Linked DNA regions of Saccharomyces cerevisiae S288C. The gene in region 2 interacts genetically with the main gene of each other region. Each region holds a gene or a part of one and is shown on either strand. Other genes may lie near its edges. The genes, in order: ERP4, IMA1 and YTA12.

What was found.
Region 1: mutations in IMA1 (region 2) and ERP4 together harm fitness less than expected from each alone (positive genetic interaction), as found in Saccharomyces cerevisiae (one large-scale study listed by BioGRID).
Region 3: mutations in IMA1 (region 2) and YTA12 together harm fitness more than expected from each alone (negative genetic interaction), as found in Saccharomyces cerevisiae (one large-scale study listed by BioGRID).

The regions. Positions count from the first base shown.
Region 1 is NC_001147.6:359,427-363,848, reverse strand, and holds ERP4 (Erp4p), read left to right. Parts: upstream 1-2,764; coding exon 2,765-3,388; downstream 3,389-4,422. Other genes in the region: PET127 (Pet127p), read right to left, coding at 35-2,437; YOR015W (uncharacterized protein), read right to left, coding at 3,497-3,856; protein phosphatase 2A regulatory subunit RTS1, read right to left, coding at 3,902-4,422. UniProt on the Saccharomyces cerevisiae protein: Involved in vesicular protein trafficking.
Region 2 is NC_001139.9:1,066,145-1,071,724, forward strand, and holds IMA1 (oligo-1,6-glucosidase IMA1), read right to left. Parts: upstream 2,848-5,580; coding exon 1,078-2,847; downstream 1-1,077. Other genes in the region: transcription factor MAL13, read left to right, coding at 4,149-5,570.
Region 3 is NC_001145.3:444,632-450,706, reverse strand, and holds YTA12 (m-AAA protease subunit YTA12), read left to right. Parts: upstream 1-2,620; coding exon 2,621-5,098; downstream 5,099-6,075. Other genes in the region: NPL6 (Npl6p), read left to right, coding at 1-649; YMR090W (uncharacterized protein), read right to left, coding at 779-1,462; VBA1 (Vba1p), read left to right, coding at 5,605-6,075.

The DNA.
Region 1 (4,422 bases), on a different chromosome or scaffold from region 2:
TAACATTAGATTGCCCAACGCTGACTACTGTCTTCTAGATATGGAACTTGTTACTCCTTTCTAATAGTTTTCTTCGAAGGGCACCTTTTTTAGCATATGCGCGCAGTTTAGTTTGCAGTCGGGTAGGGCCAAAATTAGAATATCTTTTGTTACTTCCATTATCGCGGTGATCATTGCGGGCTTGTAGTGATTTGATTCGATTCATAATTTCATCCTTTTTAGACATATCAGGTTCCTGACGTGTGATTACTTGATTTTTCAATGCGTTTAATTTAACATCCAAATATTTAAAGTATAGTTTTCGTAAAATTTGTTTGTCATTGATATCTGTAAAAGTAGAGTTCACCTCCCAAGTGGAAACATCGGAAGCGTGGAAAAAGTTTGGAGTCTGTGTAGATGGTATATCTTTGTACCAGTCTCGTTTCATCATGTCAGAAATATATTTACGGGATTCGGTGTCGAGAATATCGTTCTTTTTTAAAGCAAAATCAGGTAGATGTGTAGTATTAGGATGATGGTGATAGAAATGCTTGACATTTACTTTAAATCCAACTAAGGAATTCAGGTGTTCCTCCAAAAGATTTTCGTTATATGAGCGGAGGTTTAGTAGCTCCTCTGTTAATTGTTCGTTCGAAGTATCCTTTACCAATAAAGATTTATCCTCGTACTCAGGTGACAACGGCAGGGCTACAATATTTAGCACCGGTTCGTTAAAGAAGCGGCCACTTTTGGATCGTTTTTCTTCAACTTCGGTTTTAAGCATTATTTTGCATTTTTCCCATTTCGTATTACTTGAGTTAAGTAACTGCTCAACGTGTTTCAAAATATTACTGAACAGATTCATAGACATCTTAAATTCCCTATTAGCCACCAAGCAAGCAATTTTCCTATCGTCCCTGTCATAGTGTAGAATGTAGTCCTCCTCACCATATATCCCTTTTGTGATATCATTCTTCTCCTTTAACAAACTGTCGAATTTGCTGTTATACGAAGAATGGATTATATAATCTAATTCGTCCAAAGGTAGATATTGGAATCCAAACATCTTAGAAATATTGTGGTATGCAACGAAAATACCGTCCATTTTGCCAATTCTAGCTTGCAAAGAATACTTTAGAAGGGCAGACCTGATTAGTTCAAAATATTCTCTTTCCAAAGACTCAAATTCCCCATAAACTTTATCTATCTCATATCCAGTTTGGTTGTTATTACTCTCTACATGTGATAAATCGTATCTTATGGCAGAAACTGCTCTTGTCTTCAGATCAAATACACCCGTTCCAGGTAGATTTGGGTCGTACGCGTCCAATTGAGATCTCACAATGAATTCATCTATACTAGAATAGTGATAATTTTCACTTTTTGAACTATTCTTCAGGGACTTTTCCGTTAAAAAGTCTTCAAGATAATGACCTAGTACAGAAAGCACAATCTCCCTATCCAGACTTCTATCTGAATCAATAGAACAAATGCCATTTCTCTTCTTTCTCAGAATGACTGCTGACGGAAAATATGCACTTTCTGAATAATTGCAGTTTTTTTGAGGAAAATTTTTCGATATCGAGGAATCAATGATATTCAATCTTCTGAAATTGGATAATAAATAGTGCAACTGAGAAAGTACTGATGTCATGGAACTTGATGAAGATATGTACTTTTTTCTATGTTCTTTGGCAACCTTTAACAGAGATTCATCTTTGTGGGGTGTGATGAATATTGGCTTGCTTTGTCCTTCTCCAGAGGAGTCTGTGTTCACATCTTTTTCACTTTTCTTTTCCAAATACTCTGGATTAATATTTTCCACTGCAGGGTCAAAATTATACATTCTGCTCCTATTATCTCTCAATTTTTGTAGCGACAACGGTTGGTATAACACTCTCGTTAATCCATGACCAATCCTAGGAGGCTTTTGGTTGTGTTTTTGAACACCATCTTGATTGTAACGTACTAATGCGTGCCTAATCTTCTGGACATTTATCCGAAAAGTGTATGAATTGCTATCTGAATATGTTCTGCTAGCGGGATATGTTCTCCTAGCGGGATATGTTCTCCTACCAGGATATGTTCTTCTACCAGGATACGTTCCTACCTTTGTCCGCTCCAAATACTTATCATGTCTATACTCCTTCTTTATATTTGTTTTCAGTAGATTAATCGCCTTGTCCATTTCTTCCGTATATTTTTGTCGACCTCCCTTTTCCTTGTTTCCAATGTCCTCTACAGTCGAATTTGTGTCATATATTTCATCGACCATCTCTAAAGCACTATGCAGGTCAGAACGTAGCTTGTCTGGTGTTTCTCTTCCACTAGGGGCATTTGTGAGAGCAGCGCCAAAGTGATAAATCGATCGCTGTTGATAGCTTTTAGCGGCGCTACCTATTCTGCAAGGCTCAACAGATAGACGTCTGGACAGGAATCTACAGTTGTAGAACCCCATTATCAAAACTATAAAAGTATCAGGTAGCGTTTGGCTCTTTTTTGTGCTCTCTCAAGTGCCCTGTTTATATTATATTTTTACATATTTGTTTCTTTATTAACCAACGGCATTGACGGAAACGCGCTTTATTATGGACTACTTTTTTTTCACTGTTTCCTGTTTTTTGACGTGATATACTCAAAGATGAGCGATTGACGATCTGAGAATTCTATTTGGGAACTCTTCTCTGCTTTGAAGACATTTATTTCCCAGCTGCCTTTGAAGTAGTTTCACGAGCGCTAGTGAAGTTTTTTCATAAATATATATTCCCAATCATCGCTAGGAATTATGCGCGTTTTTACTTTGATTGCGATTTTGTTTAGTTCATCTTTGTTAACACATGCATTCTCCTCTAATTATGCTCCTGTAGGCATATCATTACCTGCTTTTACCAAAGAATGTCTTTACTATGATTTATCCTCTGATAAAGATGTCCTTGTGGTCAGTTACCAAGTTTTGACAGGTGGGAATTTCGAGATAGACTTCGATATTACCGCCCCTGATGGCTCTGTTATCGTCACTGAAAGACAAAAGAAGCATTCTGATTTTCTACTGAAGTCGTTTGGTATAGGTAAGTACACTTTCTGTTTGAGTAATAACTACGGCACTTCCCCAAAGAAAGTTGAAATCACCCTCGAAAAGGAAAAGGAAATTGTTTCTTCCCATGAAAGCAAAGAGGACATAATCGCAAACAACGCCATCGAGGAAATTGATAGGAACCTGAATAAGATCACCAAAACAATGGATTATTTAAGGGCTAGAGAATGGAGAAACATGTATACTGTGAGTTCTACTGAGTCAAGATTAACATGGCTCTCATTACTAATTATGGGGGTAATGGTTGGTATCAGTATAGTGCAGGCATTAATTATTCAGTTCTTTTTTACCAGTCGCCAAAAAAACTACGTATAGGTTGCTTTTCAAGCTCTTAAAATTGTTGGATCAGCTGTGCTAAGGGGAAGGCACTTTTTTGTATCATGATCCTATTTTTTTTGTTATTTAATTATTTATGACATACCTTTATACTTTAGTTTTCAAAAATCCAATAATAGATAGGCAAGGTTTACGGAAAAGAGTGGAGTGCAAAATAAATAGAGGAAAGGCAGAAGGAAGAAGGAAAGCGAAAAGAAAAACGAAGATATATTTGGAGAAAAGTATAGAAATAATAAAATGAAGACACATCGATTGAAGTATGCTCAAATGATGAGAAAAAGAGACCTTTATCTCAGGCCACAAACAACCATTGTCCAAGTGGCTTATCTTTGCTATAGTTTTGTTCGAATATTCGGGGATTCTATCTTTGGTTTCTTCAACAAGTTGACCCCATTTACCAGTTCTTTTTTGCTCTTCATATACTGCTGCTCTTTTGAAATGTGGCATGCCCTAAACTTCCTCACTTCTTCGAGCTTGTAATGAATTGCTGTTTCACTGTATCTCGCTGTCACAATCATTTTCGTTCTCTTCATTTAATGTGTTATTCTCACTTGCTGTGTTGAAACTGTTTCTTAATTCTGGGTTTTTGATTGTGTATTGGTCCTTATCATTGTTAATCCTTAGATTTTTTACATATTCTTCAAGTTTGCTCCAATTTTCTTCACGTTGCACCTTACGCTGTTGAGTTTCTTTTACACTTGATAAGTACAATGCATTACAGTTTTCGTACAATACTGGGTTTGTTTCCAGAAAAATTTTCAATGCCTTGAATGCCATAGCATGAATTGCCCTATTCCACGAACCAGAATTGATTGCTTGCTCAACAAGCATGTAAGGGTCTGAAATGCTATCTTCGCCATTTGCTGTATCTAGCTCTAACTGAGAAGTTAATTCATATAATGCAGGAAATATAATGGGTAGGATGACTTCGGCATTTTCGATACATAAGTTTAAGAAATATTCATTATTCCAATAACTTAAAACCTTTTCCGCCACTTGGAAATGTGGAGAAG
Region 2 (5,580 bases):
GCAAGAACAATGACTTGAAAGAGCGTATAGCTATTTAACCATTTCCATTTGTATGCTATAATTCAAGTATTTCCACACTCTTAACTAAAACGAATCAGAAGAGTAGGCTACTAAGAAAGATGGCTATCCTTAATAAGTACTATCCGACGTTGAATTGAAGATTAAACTGAGCCACACATTCCCATCTTCTGCACACTTAGTTCCTTATTTAGAGACTTTTATGATAAAAATTTCTTCCGTTCACTGTTAAACAACCTTGGGAACAATGCTGACTGTGCAGGAAAATGACCTATGTTTGAAGGATGTTGCCACATAATTGAGGCATGTTAGCAGAGCATTCCCTACCACTGGAAGGAGTGATGGTTGATGTATTTTCCATTGAGACTGTGACATTGTGATACGATACCTAATCAACGACCCTATATAACTCATTAAAAATGGCTTTCTAGAAGCTACATCTATTTGATTAAATTGGTTCCCATTTTCACAAATATTTTGCCACCTCTCCTTCTCGCCAAGGATTTGTACAAAATTAACAGACCTTTTAGAATAAATATTAAATTTAGGTCAGCAGAATACGGCCACCATCTCATTCTTTACTAGATCAAGCGTCAATTCCAATAATTATAAAAATATAAGTCAAGAAAGCATCTTTCTTCGAGTCTCCTGCATTCGGTTTGCGTTCCTCTCTCGTTCTGCTTGACAAAAGAAAGAGTTTTTTATTCTCCTAACCAATAAATTGAAGCAATCAGCTATAGGGTTAGATGTATTCGTTTTCCTTTCTGACCCCTTATGTCCCCATTTGGAAGTTCTAAACAAATGCCCTTTGGTGCCCAGTATATGTCAATGACGTCTGCTTGGCGAATCTCTGAATCATAAGTGTTACATAAAAATTAAGTATCTACGGCGCAGTACAACGCCTTCGTCTGGTTAAAATCGACTCTTCTGTCATTAACATAAGAACGTATAACAAAAAAAAAATTATATCAATGTATACATAAAGCTACCCAAAACAAACTAAAACATCACTTTTGTAGGGTTTCTTCGCACATTATCATTATTATTCTTTGAGAATACTCATTCGCTGATATATATTCTTCCTTCCCATGGCTTCAATGTTCTGGAAGAGGCATCTACCTCCTTCTTTGGATAGTTTCCAAACTCTAACTTGAACGATGAATCATCATTTGGAATCTTGAAATCTGTCGCATCAGAGCTAAAGTTCAAAGCCGCAAACAATGTTTTATTGTTGTACTTCTTTGTGAAGCTAAACAACTTCTTATTGTCTAAATCAATAAACTCGAAATCGTATCCGTACACAGTAATGTCTTTATGCGCCTTTCTAAACTTCAAGGCCTCCTTCCAGAAGTTCAAAACCGAGTTGGGATCCTTGATTTCATCTTCGACGTTAATGCCTTCTCTGAAAGAGTCGTTCAAGTAAAACCATGGTTTAGCACTAGGACCAGAAAAACCAGCATTTGGCTCCTCACGAGACCATTGCATAGGTGTTCTAGCATGGTCCCTGGAGATAAGGGCAATGGCTTCTAAAAACTTTTTCATCTCCTCTGAGTTTTCCCCATGCTCTTCTTTAATGGCATTGTAGTTGTTTCTGATTTCGACATCCTCGTACTTTTCAACAGGCCAGTTCTTGAAATTGATTTGGCCAAGCTCTTGTCCCTGATACACATATAGAGTACCGGTCAAGGCACTTAGCAACACAGAGAGTAACTTACCAGAAATAACACGGTTCTTGGGAGAATCGTCACCAAATCTCGTAATTGAACGAGGTTGGTCGTGATTTTCCAGATAGATTGTTGACCAACAATCTGTACCATTAATGTACCTGAACAGCTCAGCAAGGGCAATCTTCCAATCCTTCAGTTCAAATGGGACCAAGTTGTAACGGAACAAAGGTGAAGTCCCCACATCAGTGTGGGAAAAGTTAAATAACTCACTAAGTTCGTGTCTTGAAGCACTCGTATAAAGTCTCTTAGTTTCGTCGGAGGCATGTTGCATTTCACCAACTGTCATAATCTCCCTGCCATCCTTCACTCTGTTTCTGATGAATTGATTCATTTCTTGATGGAACTCGTGAATACGTGGTCCATTCAATGTGTATGGATCACTGGATTGCCAAGTCGAGTTTTTGTCAACAACAGGAGCATCTGGTAAACCTACAACTTTGGAGTACAAACTTCCGACATCAATTCTAAAGCCGTCTACACCATGGTCTAACCAGTATCCAACGGCACTTTCGTAGATTGCCTTTCTACAGTCTTCATTCTCCCAATTCAAATCAGGTTGAGTGGAGCAAAACAAACGCAAGTAGAATTCTTGTGTCTTTTCATCGAAGGTCCATGCGGAACCACCAAAATAGGATTTCCAATTGTTTGGAGGAATTGGCTTGCCTTCGGCGTCATAACCTTTAGGAGGTCTCCAGAAGAACCAGTCACGCTTTGGATTAGTCTTCGAGGATCTGCTCTCTTTGAACCATTCATGTTCGCTGGAACAGTGATTGATGACCAAGTCGGTGATAAATTTCATACCAAGCTTATGTGTCTTTTCGATCAAGGCAAAGCAGTCTTCATTCGTACCATATGTTGGCCAGACCTTTTCGTAGTTGGCAATATCGTAACCCATATCATCTTGTGGCGAGTCGTAGAATGGTGAGATCCAAATGGCATCGGCACCAAGCTCTTTGATGTACTCCAGCTTGGAGGCAATCCCTTTCATGTCACCCCAGCCATCGTCATTAGAGTCTTTGAAACTTGCTGGGTAAATTTGATAGAACGTGGCCTCTTTCCACCACTTTGGTTCTGTCTCTGGATGTGCAGAAGAAATAGTCATCGATAGTAAATATTACGTTGAAAAGCTTTGTTTGTATCTTGTTTGATCTGTGCTTGCTCGATTAATTTGAGACAGCTTTTTTATTTCAAAACAGGCGTCTAACCAAACGTCTAGCAACTCAATATCATTGCCCTTAAGTACTTTTTATTTCAAAAGGAGATCCTTTCTCATTCTGGGGTAAACTGTGGTATGACGAAAACCATGAAAAATAAGGAACATAATTTATCCGAGTATTTCAACGATCCCAAGTACTGACATAAACTTTAGTAGCCAATTTATAGCGTGGGGTGCCTACTTCGTCACATTTGATATCGTACAGCGAAAAAACATTAGTAACTTTATTTCCTTATTTCAGGGCCACTTTTCTCGAGAATAACGCTGCGTGCTGAGCGGTTGTTCACACCGCGGAGTTGGAAACTTTATTCTCCGAAATATTCTCCCCACTAAAATATCCTTACGTATTGTGAAACTTAGTTTTCTTTTTGTATTAGGGTGTAATTTCTTATTTTCCCTGTATTTCACCGCATGCAAATTCTTACGATATTTACTCCGGTAAACGCAGTTAAGAGCTATTGTCCGGTCCGACTGAATGAATATTCGGTTAGAAACGCATATTTGTGGGGAAATAACAACCTCAAAGATATAGACGGAGCAGTACCGTAAGGTTTACAGAATGGCATGACCACCCACAATAAAGCAAGGACCTCGAGACACATGCCTTTCAAAATAGAAATAAAGGTTTTCGAACATCATTTTTCGCTTGTTGTATAGTAGTCTTTACAGTAACAGTGCATCTGAGTACAGGAACGATTGTCTTGATAATATGTGAAAAGTGCACACGAAATTAGAGGGTGTCCTTTACAAGTATTCTTAGAAACACATTCAAGAGCACAAAAGTCGATGCTTTAAGGGTCAAGGTGGTGGAAAACTTGACTGGAATTCTTGACGAAAAAACAAGAAAAACGTGATTCGAGCAATCATAAACATACAGCCCCGTTCCAACCGGATCTTGAGGTTTCCCATTTTAGATGGAAATAAGCAGAGCAAAATAAAAATCTTGAACAAGTAATAGTGGTGACTGCAGGTTACGTTGGCATATAAAGTCCGGGTGACCTGGGTTTCCTGCACCACCAGCCCCCATATGCTAGCACAATGGGTTTTCTTTATCCCCGGTCATAATTACTCATTTTGCTATATTCTTCATAACTTAAGTACGCAGATAGAGAAAATTAATAATCTCGATATATATTAAAGTAAATGAAAAGTAGAAAATTTAGCCAGAACTCTTTTTTGCTTCGAGTATGACTTTAACTAAGCAAACATGCGCCAAGCAGGCATGCGACTGCTGTCGTATTCGTCGAGTGAAATGCGATGGTAAAAGGCCGTGTAGCAGTTGCCTACAGAATAGTTTGGATTGCACTTATCTGCAACCGTCGAGAAAAAGAGGTCCGAAGTCCATTAGGTTGAGGAGCTTGAAAAGAATAGCAGAAGTGCAGAGGGAAAGCGGTCCTAACACCATTGCAACTGCTCCTGTAATATATAAGAGGGTTCCCAAAAAGCTAATCGATCAGTGCTTGCGGCTCTATCACGATAATTTATACGTAATCTGGCCCCTTCTTTCGTACGATGACCTTCACAAACTTCTGGAGGAAAAATACAATGACAATTACGTATATTGGTTTCTGACCGCTTTATCAGCGGCCACCCTCAGTGATTTACAAACTGAAATAAAATCTGAAGAGGAAGTCACTTTCACGGGAAAACAGTTATCTAATCTTTGCATCTCATCGTGTCAGCAATTTGACGATTTGGATAACAGCAATATATTCAATATTATGACGTACTACTGTTTGCATCGTAGCTTTGCACAAATATCGAACGCAAGAACTTCTTACAGACTCTGTTGTGAAGCGGTCGGTCTGATTACGGTAGCAGGGTTACATCGGGAAGAAACTTACGGATCCCTTACATTTGAAGAACAGCAACTTAGACGGAAACTTTATTACTTGCTTCTCATGACGGAGAGATACTATGCCATATATCTTCATTGTGCGACGAGCCTGGATGCCACAATAGCACCACCGCAACTTGAACTTGTAACTGATCCTCAGCTTTCTATGGACAGTTTCCTTGAAATGATTAGGGTATTTACTGTACCAGGAAAATGTTTCTTCGATGCTTTAGCCGCTGACTCTACAGATGCTTCTTGCACTGAAGAGTCATTGAAAAAGATATGGAACGAACTCCACACAACTTCCTCGGAAATAGAGCCATGGTCTAACGGTTACATAGACATCTCATTTTCCCGGCATTGGATTAGGATACTAGCATGGAAGCTAGCTTATCAAATGAGGGGTAGCAACTTTTCATTGAACGCTAACAATGGGCAAATACCAATAGAAATTGCGAGAGATATGTTAATAGACACTTACTTAACCCCAGAGAATCTTTACGATGTCCATGGTCCCGGGGTACCAGTGAAAACATTAGAAATAGCTACTGCTTTGGTGGACATTGTAGGCCAGTATGATCATAACATGAAATTAGAAGCATGGAATGTTTTGCATGATGTATGCAAATTTGCTTTTTCTTTAAACCACTATAACAATGATATGCTGAAGAGATTTTCCACCAAATGCCAGAATGCCCTAATTACTCTGCCCATTTCTAAACCTTTACAATTGGATGGTTATCCCAAGGATAATGAAGACATAGACCCTTGATTAATTTTCA
Region 3 (6,075 bases), on a different chromosome or scaffold from region 2:
CACCGCTAGAGGCGTGTTTAAAGAATTTGGTGCTAAAATCATTCGTGGCGGCAAACATATAACCGATGATTATTATGCTTCTGAATTAAGAACAAAGGGAAATGTAATTGAAGGAAAACTTGCTGGTGATCCTATTGATAAATCCGCAAGGGCCTTAGAAACCATGATGTATCCTGCTTCCGAGAATGGCATAAACCCTGCAAAAAACCAGGTGGAATTCTTTGAACACAGGCCACATGGTCACATGAGTAATTCTAATATTATTGCATCAGGTAGTAAGCTGAGCTCTACAAATTGGCTCTATCAGCATTCTGCTGCGTGTAGTAGATTTAATAGCGATTTGTTTTATGATAGAGTGAAGGTTCTTCTTGTAGATCAACAAGGCTTGAGAGATGCATACACAAATATATTACACATACCAGAATCCACACAGTCAACCACTGTTTTAGGATGGAGGAGATCAAAAAACGATAGTCCCAGCGACACAAGCATTGTGTATGAGACCGTTATACACGATAACGATTTGAATAAACCGAAAACGGGACTGTCGGAAATCCCGAAAGAGATCTATGAAGACGTTGTTGATGAAGACGTTTTAAGGGCTATCACCGAACAACAAAATTTCGAAAAATGCAACGAATATATTTAGTATACTCAATGTAACAATATAACAAATTTTTATCTTCAAATCAAGGTAAAAAAATTCATATATTCTCACTTTCTTTTTCTTTTCTTGACTATTCATCTACATATGCATTTCACGCGTAAATAGGTTGATCTACAAACTTTGAATGAATTTTTCCATTGGCTCGTTGCCATTTACCAACGAAATGGTTTTTTTCACTGTTGCATTTGGATGTAGCAAGCTTTCCACAATAAAAGAAGCTACATCCTCCCTGTTAATGGAGTAGTTAACAGAAGCCTTCTCTTCTAATTTGTCAAGGGGTTGCAAAAGACCGGTACCTTTATTTAGTTCCAACGATCCAGGCTGTAAAATAGTGTAATCCAAATTAGAGTTTCTAACCTCACGATCAGCAGATCTCTTTGCAATATAGTATTCACGCAAACCCTTAATGTTATACCAAAAATCTCTATCCTCCGCCTTGAGCGCTGAAACAACAACGAACCTTTTGATACCAGCCTTTTCGCATGCTTCAACAACTTTGATACAGCCATCCAGATCAACCGTGAAAATTCTTTCCATTCCTTTACCACCCGCACCGGCGCTAAAGACCACGGCATCATAAGCCTTAATAGCGTCTGTGATCTCACTAACGGACGCGTTTTCTATATCTGTCAAACTAGCATCAACACCTACTTCATTCTTGAAATAATTGACTTGATCCTGTGTTCTAACAATCGCTAATGGTGTTGAGAAACTATCGTTGGCCTTCAATTGGTTTATCAATAAACGTCCAACTTTACCACTGGCACCGACAACCGCAACTTTCATAGGAGACATGGCTGTTAAGTCAATAATATATGAATACCGATGATATAACTTCAATGAATTTTTATTTGGAGGGAAAGTATCCTATTATGAGCGTCACGATGGGACTTTAAATATATATCCCTACTTCGAGTGTACCCTTACGTAATACTTGCAGCCCCTTGCTGTTGACAGCGCGATACAATTTTCGTACTAAACAATCACAGAGGTAACAGCAAAGTTTGGAAAGTACTTTTGTTGGAAAGTTATTACGGCCACTAACATTGTCTCGTCGTATTATTAAAAGCTATAACGTCGTATTTCTTTGCTCGCTTGTGTTTTGTGATACAGGAAACACACACCAACAGGTTCACCGAGGGCTGTTGTCTGTCTTTGTACTTTAACTCAAAGAACTTCTGTTTCACGATTTGTATTAATAGTTCTTGCAGGCTACTAGGCTGAATACGTTAAAATGGTTAGCAACGAATATAACCAGAAATACTTCGGGTACAATTCTGATACGTATATTTGTAGATATGTCTCGCTTGATGTTGCCAACTTTGTCAAAAATGGTAACGTATGGGCACACGGAATGTGCTAATCCTCGACTTTGCTCTTTCGTAAACCAATTTGATGCAAGTGCAGCGTGGTCTTTTGAAAGTGCATTATCTCATTGGGCGATGCGAAAACTCTGCCTACAGAAGTTCGCCGTTAGATAATTCTGATTGTAGAAAACCTACCAAAGAGAATAAACTAAAGTGTCATCTGCTAATTTATGATCTTATCGTCTGAGTGATGATGTATGTTTCTCTTTGTACGGTTCGTCTTGTGCTCATGTACGTAACATCCTCCATATGTGTGAATTATTTTGTCCGGCGTCTTGTTTGAATATCCCATCCGGACGTATTTCTTTATAGGATAACGCATGCACATATCGGTTCGTTCAATAAGAAAGTCCCTTCTGGTATTATTCGGTGTCCTGTAAGATCTATATACTAATCACCAAGCTATCTGGTGTCACATTGTGAATACATTTGTCTTTTGGTCCATTTTTCCCCATCATTTTCTCGTGAAAACGATCTCTAACTTTTGCCACTATAGTTTTAAAGGAAAGATTTTGAGCTGCCAACGAATACAATATAGCACACTCAAGAGTCTTGGCAAGCAACTTTAAAGTTAGAAAGAGTACTAATGTTGCTACTTTCTTGGTCAAGAATTGCTACTAAGGTAGTTAGAAGGCCCGTTCGCTTCCGGTCCTATTACGGCTTGACCCATATCAAGAGTTTACATACTCAATATCGGCTACTCAATAGGCTGCAAGAGAATAAGAGCGGTAACAAGAACGAGGACAATAACGAAGACGCTAAACTTAACAAAGAAATTCCCACAGACGAAGAGGTTGAAGCAATAAGAAAACAAGTAGAAAAATATATCGAACAAACTAAAAATAATACTATACCGGCTAACTGGAAAGAACAGAAACGCAAAATTGATGAAAGTATTAGGCGTTTAGAAGATGCTGTATTGAAACAAGAATCTAACAGAATTCAAGAAGAAAGAAAGGAAAAAGAGGAGGAAAATGGTCCTTCAAAAGCCAAGTCAAACAGAACAAAAGAGCAGGGCTACTTTGAAGGTAACAATAGCAGAAATATTCCACCGCCACCACCACCTCCTCCCCCAAAACCACCTCTAAATGATCCTAGTAATCCTGTATCGAAAAATGTTAACTTATTCCAGATAGGACTAACTTTTTTCCTCCTTTCGTTTTTATTGGATCTCCTCAACAGTTTGGAAGAGCAAAGTGAGATAACGTGGCAGGATTTTAGAGAGAAACTATTGGCAAAAGGTTATGTTGCGAAGTTGATTGTTGTCAACAAGTCCATGGTGAAAGTGATGTTAAATGACAACGGAAAAAACCAAGCCGACAATTACGGTCGCAACTTCTATTATTTCACAATTGGTTCAATTGATAGCTTCGAACACAAACTTCAGAAAGCACAGGACGAACTGGACATTGATAAGGATTTCAGAATACCTGTACTATATGTTCAAGAAGGCAATTGGGCTAAAGCTATGTTCCAAATTTTGCCAACTGTTTTAATGATTGCAGGTATTATTTGGTTGACAAGAAGATCGGCACAAGCAGCGGGCGGTAGCCGTGGAGGCATATTTGGTCTGAGTCGTTCTAAGGCTAAAAAATTTAACACTGAAACAGACGTTAAGATCAAGTTCAAGGACGTTGCCGGATGCGATGAGGCTAAGGAAGAAATTATGGAGTTTGTTAGCTTCTTGAAAGAACCTTCTCGTTATGAAAAAATGGGAGCTAAAATTCCTAGAGGTGCGATTCTATCTGGTCCACCAGGTACCGGTAAAACTTTGCTTGCAAAGGCAACAGCAGGTGAAGCCGGTGTTCCGTTTTATTTTGTTTCTGGTTCAGAATTTGTAGAAATGTTTGTTGGTGTTGGTGCAGCAAGAGTAAGAGATTTGTTCAAAACTGCAAGAGAAAATGCACCCTCAATTGTGTTTATTGACGAAATTGATGCTATAGGAAAAGCAAGACAAAAGGGTAATTTTTCAGGTGCCAATGATGAGAGAGAGAACACGCTAAATCAAATGTTAGTAGAAATGGATGGTTTCACTCCAGCTGACCACGTTGTTGTTTTAGCTGGTACCAATAGACCCGATATTCTCGATAAAGCATTATTAAGGCCTGGTAGATTTGACAGGCATATCAATATCGACAAGCCCGAACTTGAGGGTAGAAAAGCCATTTTTGCTGTTCATTTACATCATTTGAAACTTGCCGGGGAAATTTTTGATTTGAAAAATAGATTAGCGGCTTTGACGCCAGGCTTTTCTGGTGCTGATATTGCCAACGTTTGTAACGAGGCCGCCTTGATTGCTGCTAGAAGTGATGAAGATGCAGTAAAATTGAATCATTTTGAACAAGCTATCGAAAGAGTCATCGGTGGAGTGGAACGCAAATCCAAGCTACTCTCTCCCGAAGAGAAGAAAGTAGTGGCTTACCACGAGGCTGGTCATGCTGTATGTGGATGGTACTTAAAATACGCAGATCCTCTTCTGAAAGTCAGTATTATTCCACGTGGCCAGGGCGCCCTTGGTTATGCACAGTATTTGCCAGGTGATATCTTCTTACTAACTGAACAGCAACTTAAGGACAGAATGACCATGTCTCTGGGTGGAAGAGTTTCTGAAGAATTACATTTCCCATCAGTTACAAGTGGCGCATCTGATGACTTCAAAAAAGTTACTAGCATGGCCACGGCAATGGTCACAGAATTAGGCATGAGTGATAAAATTGGCTGGGTCAATTACCAGAAGAGAGATGATAGCGATTTGACAAAACCATTTTCGGACGAGACAGGTGACATTATTGATTCCGAAGTATACAGAATCGTCCAAGAATGCCATGACAGATGTACAAAGCTGCTTAAAGAAAAAGCAGAAGATGTAGAGAAGATTGCTCAAGTACTACTGAAAAAAGAAGTTTTGACAAGAGAAGATATGATTGATTTACTTGGTAAGCGCCCTTTCCCAGAAAGGAATGATGCTTTTGATAAGTACTTGAACGATTACGAAACGGAAAAAATCAGGAAGGAAGAAGAAAAAAACGAAAAACGTAATGAGCCTAAGCCATCTACAAACTGATTGATATTTCACAATACAAAGAAATGGAGGAAGACTGTTCTACATATCTTGCTTATTTTATTGAAAGCCAGACATCTTTCTTTTTCGGTAGAACACTGTCACGTATTTACCATATAATCTAATCTGAAAACATGTAAATATATATACGTGTATAAATGCACCTATATCTATATATGATCAAAGCGCTTCTGTGAGGCTGTCATTGGTTAATACACGCGATCTTTTTTTTATCGCTGATTCCACGGCTTAGCCTATCTTATCTTCAGTATTCGCATGATACACTTTTTCACTGCGTCGTTTTGTTGGATGATATCTGTCCGACAATAAACGTAGGTCATCTTAAGGGCCGGTGATAGAGAAGAGCATGCGGTTCCACTTTAGGCCAACCCACATTCCCAAAATATAAGAATACAGCAGCGATTTTTTTCTATCGAATTATTTTGTTTTTTGTCTCCTCTTTGTTCTTCACTAAGCTCAGAGCCCTAGTTGTTGAGGGAACAAGAAGAATGCAAACACTAGACGAGACTTCAAATCTACTCCCTCCACCTGAGGAAGCTGAAGCCCCTCCCTTGGAACAAAAATTTCATGAATATAATTTGGCCTTACCTAAGTTTCCCATTTTGTTTTCGCTATGGTTGGGTAGTTTTTTGAGTTCCTTGGATAGCACTATTGTCGCAAATATAATGAATAGAGTTGCTGAGGAATTCTCTGAATCAAGTAAAAAGCAATGGATTGCGACGAGTTTTCTTTTGACAAATACGGCTTTCCAACCACTATATGGGAAGCTTTCTGATATAACAGGGCGGAAGTCAGCATTATTAACCGCTCAATTTTTTTTTGGCCTTGGGTGCTTATTAACATGTTTTGCCAGAAACGTCACGGAATTCTCAATAGCAAGAGCCATATGTGGTATTGGTGCAGGAGGATTGAATGCTATTAGTAGCATTGCTGTTAGTGACATATGTACAGCAAGAGAA